Linked DNA regions of Coturnix japonica. The protein of the gene in region 1 interacts with the protein of each later gene in a pairwise test. Links are inferred from orthologs where the notes say so. Each region holds a gene or a part of one and is shown on either strand. Other genes may lie near its edges.

Region 1 (3,812 bases):
GTTTTCTGGCACTGCTGGCTCGGGTTTTGTTGTTTTGTTTTGTTTTGTTTTGAAGGCAGAGAGCTATAGTTCTATCACGAGACTCAAAAGAATATGAGAAAATGAAAACAAATTAGGGGGAGGAAAAAGAGAGAGCAAGCATGCAGCCAGTTTTATATCTCATTTTTTTATGGATGCTTGGTGGTTTGGATGTGAGGTTGTCTTTTTTTATTGCATTACTTCTGCTGCTTAGTGCCTATAGAGAAAATCTTGTTTGGAGTAGATGCCATGCAGACTTGCTGGTTTATGATCTATTCCTGCTTGACTATAACTCTTGACTTTCAAAACAGAAAAATGCATTTAAGTGTAATCTAATAGCAAAAAGAATGTTCTTGCAGCAGGAACCCTGTCAGAGAACATGTAAGCAGCTCCATAAACAAGTAAATGAAAGCCTCAGACATGCCTTAAGACCCTTTAAGAAAGGCTTGACTAATCCCCTTTGATGATTTTATTAAGTACTCGTGGTTGCTGGTGCCAACTGGCAAACTGCTGCAGCTCACCAACAGGCCAGGAAATCACATCCTCTCCCCTCTTGTTCATAGCTCCTAATGTGATCGGGTTATTAGCAGTTTGATATCAGAAATTAACAGGTACTGTAAACAAGTGGCTGAAAAGGTAAGGCAGTAAAGCTGTTAGCCCACAAGATCCTATTAGGAAAAACAGCATGGGAAAAAAAATAAAAAATAAAAATAAAAAAAATAATAATAAAAAAAAAAGAAAGAAAGAAAAGAAATGAAAAAGAAAGCAAAAGTTAAATTCATTAAGAGGCATTTATTAAATTTTTGCTTGTCTTCAGAAAAAGGACAGTGTGACTGCTGTTCAGTTGGCACCATTATGTGGCATTCTGCTCTTTCAACAAGTGCAGCAGAGGCAGGAGCTGTTGCAGAAGGAATTAGCATCTTTTCTGAGGAGTGGGTTACTTCTCTTTCCCCTGAGGTTAAAGTTCAAAGAGAAATTTCCTCTTTGTGCACATCACTTTAATTCTATTAAAACACCAAATCTTCCCTTTCTTTTTTTTTCCCCCCTCCTAAGTTATCCTTCATGGACTGTGGTACAGATGAACAGGGTCAGGAAATCCCAATTCCACAGCATTGGGATTATGGAACTAAGCATGAGTATTTCAGAGCAAAGAAGACACAGTACAAATCATAGACTGTTACTGTAATGCTCCCCAAACTAACACAATTCTTACAGAAAGCTTCTACAAAACCCCACTTGTTTACAACTGTGTGTGTTGATTAGAAAATATTACGTATTGCATTGATTACTGTAATAAAGTGAGGAAGAGAGACACAAAATCGGAAGTGAGAATAATAAATATATGTTTTACCACAGTGCATGTACAAATAAGTAGAAGAGCAGACTTATGGCAAATCCAAACATGCCTAATAGTTTTTCTTATGTTTTGTTGTGTTTTGTTTTTTCCTGTTCAGGATTCTCTACTTTGTCTCTAGCTGACCAGATGAGCCTTCTGCAGAGTGCTTGGATGGAGATTTTGATTCTCGGTGTTGTATACCGGTCACTTTCTTTTGAGGATGAGCTTGTTTATGCTGAAGACTATATTATGGATGAAGACCAGTCCAAATTGGCAGGCCTTCTTGACCTTAACAATGCCATACTGCAACTGGTAAAGAAATACAAGAGCATGAAGCTGGAGAAAGAAGAGTTTGTCACCCTCAAGGCTATAGCACTTGCTAATTCAGGTTGGCAGAGTGGCACCGTGGTTGCTACATTTTTAATATGTCACTTTTCTCCATATTACTTTCTGCATGCTTGTTTTAAATACAGGTTTAGAGTAAGAAGTTGCTAATCAACCCTTAGTCTAACAGGCAACAAACAATGCAGTTCAAGCTAAGAGGAGCTTTCTGGTCCTAAGTAATCAGGGAGTACGCTCCTAAGGGAGCGGGAGTGTAATGCACTGTGTGATTTGGAGACTATTTTACAGGCAAAGATCCTTACAAATGAATATGGATGCTCTTCTCCTAAATCCATTCCATAATCCAGACGAGTCTAATCATAGTAGTTAAAATGAACAGAAAGGATACATGAGGATATGCTATATCCATTCTCTTTAAATGCAGCTACTGACTTATAAGATAGAGTGAATTCAGGGTGTGGGAGAGGGGAGGAAATTCTTTGTTAATCCAACAGGGACCCCACTTTACCTTTTGGATCCTCTGCATTTGTGGTGATGCTTCTCCAAAGATTACTGTTACCTGTGCAGAAAGGGTTAAAAATCTCAGAAAGATTCTTTTTTCCCCTCTGCATTTGAATTTAAAAGTGCTGAAGCAGTGAATACTGCCAGATAAGTAAAAATCGTTTTTGCTTTGTTGTTTTTCCTTTTGTGTCTCCTTAATGCTTTATTGTGGTCTTAAGTCCCTTTTAGCATTTGCATAAAGTTCACGATAGATCCCTCTTTAATGACGTGCCGATCATTAGATACCTGTGTGTCAATAACATGCTCTGATGCTATGTTCCATTGACAGTCACACCGTGCCCCTCCATCTGCTTTTGTTTTGACCCTATCTTTGAACTTTATCTTGGTTGCTGGCCAGTAGTTTTCCCTTTAATTACAAGAAGGAAACTGTCAATAAAATCTGTTAAATGGGATGCAATGAGTGGCTTGAATGGGCGGACGGCTATTTGTTCAAATTCTGCAGCATTCAAGGTATTGACAGTTTGTTTTCTGGGGCCATATGTGACGATCAATCTCAGGCTGGGCTCAGCCGCGCTGAAAAATGAAAAACCAGATTGCTTTTGCTTACTTGTGGATGACGACTTGTGATTTGGCGCGGTCCTGGTGAGATGAGACCTTCTGCCCAAATTGCCCCCCTGAGAGCCAGGATGCGTGACTGTTTTTAGAAATAATTTTTTAATTGATTTTGTAATTAACAGTTCATCTACAATATTGATGCATGAATCCTCAGATTGATAGGAGGGAAATTGTTTTCAACAATGAAGTTGTACTTTCCTATTTGTCTTTGTAATGTGATTTAGCACTCTGCATTTTTAATTGGAAATATAATTCAAAAACATGCAAAGCCAAAATGCTTATTAGTTTCTTTGTATTCTCCACCCCACTGACTCTGTCCCTGGTATTAGAATATCATTTTATTTTCAGAAGAGAAAACATCTGAAATGTCCCTCAAAGCTCCGAGTTGTTTTGTAATTGAGGATCTATTTACAATTAGTGACCACTGTAAGTGTACACTTGAGAACGTTTTGCAGCTACAGGAAGGGCTTTTCCCAAGGTTGTTCGTGCTTATTGAGCAGAGCAATAAAGTTAACTGGAATTAGGAGTCTAAATTGGGAGCTTATTATGTTTCTTTCCCGATTTTTACATTGGTCTGTTTGATTTAGAAATATTTCTGTATCTTACTTGATGAAGAGGAAGGGAACTGGGATGTGGGAATCCAGTGTTAAATACCACTCACAGCCCTATTGGTTTTTCTTTTCCTCAAGAGGCGTGCAGTGATTAAGCAATAATAAAATACACTGCTGCCAAAAAAGTTTATTCATGCATTGTGCATGGAGTGTGTTAAAATAATCCGTGGCTTCATTAACTTCCCTGGGAATTACAACCAGGATAATGTCAGAGAGAAATACCGTTTCGCGTACATTTAAGGGAAAACATTTCCTTCCCTCATCTGCAAAGGACTAAAATTGCTGTTTTAAAATGAAACTATTGCACAGAGGAGTTACAAAGCAAACCAGCTGTTTGACTTCCCTCTGAACAGAGCTCTCTGATGGCTGGCATTAAATAGTGCAGGTCC
Region 2 (4,581 bases), on another chromosome or scaffold:
GTGACAGCACAGAAATCAACATGTTGACAACTGCCCCGATTGCTGAGCTCCGCAAATTTTAGTAAATATGGGACAAAACGTAGCATTGATTCATTTTAGAAACAAACATTTTAACAATACTTCAGTGTCATCAGACTCTGTTCTTGGTGTTGCGATACATCCAAGGTGATTATCAGCACGACATCCAGAGCAGAAGTATCTTAAACTTAAGCACTCTTCAAGATTTCACTACAAAATTCTAAATAATTATCTTTTGCACTGCATTTATTTAAAAATCATCCCATGACCACATAAAATGTACACATTCACTGTATATTAAGTCCAAGGCTACATCTATAAATGTCCTTTTGTGTTTAACAAAATAATTCTTTTCTTTTAGATCAGGCCACGTACTCAGCATGGCCACCTTCCATTTACCACTTTTGTTCTAAAAATACCTCTATGCAGGAAAGTCCAGCATAAATTTACATATGCTACAAAGTATTACACTTATTTACATGGCTCTCTTTTCCCTATGAAAACATCATATACCTACATAAGATACTGTAACTTAAAGTAATTGTAGAGTAACCAATTTAAAGTTATAAGTAACTACTCTCCAGCTTTCTCACAATTACAAAATTATACAAAACAGGAAAAAAAAAAGAATTTAGAACTTATCAGTGCATCAGAATACAAAGAATTTGGGGAATTTCTGGCAGTCACCTGGCAATGCAAAACGTGTCATTAACTGGCAGTCTAATTTGTTGAGGTTGCAATGAAATACTGCTGGAGCTGGAGATACAGACTTCTTTACTGTGTTCTTCCACCTTTTTTCAAGAACATGTAGAAATGTTTCTTAAAACTAAATTTTAGTCACAAGCTTGAGTGTCAGATCTCAAAGGTCTGAAAAAAAACAAATCCTCTTTGCATTTTCACTAGGAATTGCTGCTCAGAAGAGTTTTAACTAGAAAATCTGATAAAAGGTGAAAAGGCAAAGGCAGAGCACCTCATTAAAGCTTGCAGAGTGTTTGTTTTTTCCAGTTAATGCTGCATCAAGTTCAGCAAAAGTTGGCCTTCCAATGCCATTAACAAGGACTCTCAATTCCAATTTTTAGGGACAGTCCCATTAACTCTTACAGTAAATGGTGACAGTCTAGGATTTAATCAAATTAATGTAATAGCAAAATCAAGAAAGCACACAACTTTTGAGGTAAAACATTGGGAATGTAAGCGTCCCTACCTGCCTCCTTCTCTTCCAACTACATGCAGCAAGAACATTTAGTCCTGTTACCCGTGCATCTGCACTTCTGAATAGCTAGTCTCAAAGTTGGAGCCTGTAAATTCAAATAACTAATTGATAAATCTTTTATCATTTAAAGTTCCATCTCAAGCCTGGACTTTTAGCAATGTTTTAAGCTGAAATGTCATTATTTCTTTATCAGAAGGTTTAAAAGAAACAGGCACCCAGTGGCTTGGTGGCTTGGGAAGAACACTTGGTGAGGGTGGTTCACTAAACTTTGCTCCTGCATAGTTCTGATTGGTCTGAGGTGAGAAAAATAGGTTACGGTTTGACAGATCAGGACTCCAATTTTGATTACAGGGGAAATGAATGTTGTTCTTTCCTGCCTTCTGCATGGCCTGCCATGCACCAGACAAGGAGTTGCATCCATGTCCTCTTTCTTTCTTCATACAGGTTTTCTTCATCTGTGAATTCTGGTCTTTATTCTTCTGCCTGTTTTTAAGTTGTTGATGGTTCTTGGTAATATTTCTAGACTGGGGAACTGGAATGCTGAACCTCTCTCCGCCACCCATTTTCAAGTTAAATGTCACCTGTAAAGAAAGGGAAAAGTTTGTATTTTTCTTTTCCTTTTTTAAACCCAGGAAAACTGAACTACAGTGCAATGTGTCTTCCTAGTGGCAGATACTCCCTCTAAAATGGCTTAACAATTCTGCTGCTAATGGCTGATCTGCTGGTCATCGTGCACTGATCCATCCTTCAGGAACTGGATACAGACCAGTCCTTCATCAATACACAGCTCTGTCTACCTATTGATGAAAAAGCTGCTCCTCTGCACAGCCCAACCACTGGACGTGCCACTAATTCCCTCCACAAACTGCACTAGGAAAATGTGAAAGGTGCACTGTTCACAAAACAACGTCAAATGAAAGGGTTAACACTGAAGACATTTAAACCAAGCCTATGTTATACTTAGAGAGAAATCTGCACGGATAAAGGCATGCCCCAGTCTAACAAATACTACTTTTAACTGCTGATATTCCTAAGCAGGTACAGTCAGTGAAGGCAATGTAGGCATGAGATACGTTCCAGAGCAGATTTTTCTGGCAGGAGATGAGGAAGCAGCACAGATGTGAGCACAGCTGTGGGACACGAGTTAAAAACCACAACTGAACTGAAAACGTTCAAGTGTGAAGCAGCCGTTTGTAAGTGGACCTGAAAGAAAAGCCAGGCGCTGTCACGGCTGTGTCCCCTGAACCATCCCATCCCTGCACATCTCAGTTACCTCTCAGTGGCCGTTTCCGACTCCACGCTCTCCAATCCTCGCCCCCTTTCTTGCTTCCAAGCCTGCAATAGCAGGTGCTGCCTTTCGCTGCTCTCCTTCCTTTGGCTCCGGGCGCAGGTTTTCATGGGCCGATCCGCCGTATTCAGCCAGGCAGCCGAAGCCAACATCAGCTTCTCGGCACTAAACTCCAAGGGGAGAAGTCACAGCTGCAGGAAGAGTCTGGAGTCAGACACGGGGAACAACTTTTCCCCTTCAAGTTTGGAGCTACAAAAGAACGTTAGAAACGATGGAATTCACACAGATCCACGCCCCGACCCCAACAATGGCGTCACGAGCACAACATGGCGGCACCCGGCCCAACCGCAGCGCCCCGCCTTTACCGACTGCTGTCCGCTCCGTACACACACACACAACACAGACACACACACACAGACACACACACACACTCAGGCCCGTCCGAACCGACCCGACCCGCCGCTCGGTACCGTCACGTCCCGCCCCGCCGCGTCCCCGGCCCCACACAAAATGGCGGCCGCTCCCGTCGCCTTTTATAACCTCTCCCCCTCTCCCTTCTCCCAAGTCGCCGCTCTCCAGCCAATAGGAGCGCGCTGCGTACTCCCCGCAGCCAATGAGAGGCAAGTTTCCCCCGTCGGCGTGATGGGGCGGGGTCCGGTTCGAATCCCCGCAGCGCGGGAACCAACGGCGCCGCCCCGCGGCAGCTCGGACCGGCTGCGGCTGATCCCTCCCTCCTTCCTCCTCCCTCCCGCCGTTCTGCTCCCGCCGTTCGTTTCCCGCCGTTCTGCTCCCGCCGTTCGTTTCCCGCCGTTCGCTTCCCGCTCCCTCGTGCCGTTCTGCTCCCGCTCCCGTCCCCGCGCTGGCTGCAGAGCAGGAACAGCCTCAGGCTGGAGCACAAGCAGTTGGACGCGTTGCGGGCTGAGCGCTCGTTCCCCCGCGCCGTGGGTGCAGGGCGCAGCTCCGGCCGGGCGGGGGCGGCCGAGCAGCACGAACCGCACGAACCGCAGCCGGCACCGCGGCCTCCAGCAACGGGGCCGAACCCGCCGGGTCTGGGGCCGAACTGACGTTCCCGCGTTGTGCGCGGACCATAAGCGCTGTGCTCACCTTATGGCACCCGCTTTGTGTTCAGGGGGTTTCCAGTCTCCCCAGCACAGAGTCACAGAATCAGAGTCATTAAGGTTGGAAAAGACCCCCGAGATCATTGAGCCCAGCCGCCCACCTACCACCAGTATTTCCCCACCAGGCTGTGTCCTGTGGTACAACATCTAAACATCTCTTGAACACCGTTGTAATGTTCTTTGGACACTGCGTAAATGCGGGTATGGAGAATTTAAGACAGTCCTGGGAAAGCTGTGTGCAATTCAGAGACGTCAAGGTGCCGTTTGTTTAAGAGATGCCTTGGTTTGGGTGGCAGCGATTTCTGAGGGAGATTTGGGCACCTGAGGAGCTCCCTGGTGAGCTGAGATGGGTCAAAACCCACCTGGCTGCACAGTGCACCCGTCTGGGGAGACAAGGGCTGTCACTGAATAATGACATTGAGAATAATGACATAATGACTGCTGCATTTGTGATGTCCTGCAAAGAGCTGCAGGAAGCATGGGATGCTGAGGTTGGAGTGCAATCGCTGTGGTCCTGCTGGTTGCCCCAGAACCTGACGTAAGAGAGGAGCAGCTTGTTGCAACGCTAAGCCACATTTCAGCCCAAAGTCCAGGACTGCTCTGCTCCAACATGCCAAGAGACGCAAATCGGGATCAAAATGCTCCGGGTGCAACAGAAAACGCTGCAGCTGCCAATGTTTGTTCCCCAGTGAGCAGCTGGGAGCAGAGTGTGGGGTCAGGGCCTCAGCGGGTTCTGCAGCACATCACGGGCTGGTCGGTGGGTGTCACAGCTGCTGGGAAGCACAGAACAGCAGCAGTAAGAAGTGGGCGCTCAATGGGGAGGGAAGTAATGGAGACAAGTACGAACACCCTCAGGGTGCGGGCGGTGTCGGGACACACCGCGGGGCAGAGGCGGGTGGGGGCAGCACGTCGCGCAGCCCCGCAGCCGGGAGGACACGGCCGGG

Evidence for each region.
Region 2: the proteins of ESRRG (region 1) and PNRC2 interact in binary tests that used the Homo sapiens proteins (3 or more experiments, as listed by UniProt). The link is inferred for Coturnix japonica from reciprocal best matches to the Homo sapiens genes ESRRG and PNRC2.

Annotation. Positions count from the first base shown.
Region 1 is NC_029518.1:17,817,386-17,821,197, forward strand, and holds part of ESRRG (estrogen-related receptor gamma), read left to right. Parts: intron 1-1,472; coding exon 1,473-1,742; intron 1,743-3,812. UniProt on the Homo sapiens protein: Orphan receptor that acts as a transcription activator in the absence of bound ligand. Binds specifically to an estrogen response element and activates reporter genes controlled by estrogen response elements.
Region 2 is NC_029538.1:4,928,362-4,932,942, reverse strand, and holds the start of PNRC2 (proline-rich nuclear receptor coactivator 2), read right to left. Parts: upstream 3,101-4,581; 5' UTR 2,971-3,100; intron 2,769-2,970; exon of another isoform or gene 2,711-2,768; 5' UTR 2,505-2,710; intron 1,813-2,504; 5' UTR 1,795-1,812; coding exon 1,369-1,794; 3' UTR 1-1,368. UniProt on the Homo sapiens protein: Involved in nonsense-mediated mRNA decay (NMD) by acting as a bridge between the mRNA decapping complex and the NMD machinery. May act by targeting the NMD machinery to the P-body and recruiting the decapping machinery to aberrant mRNAs.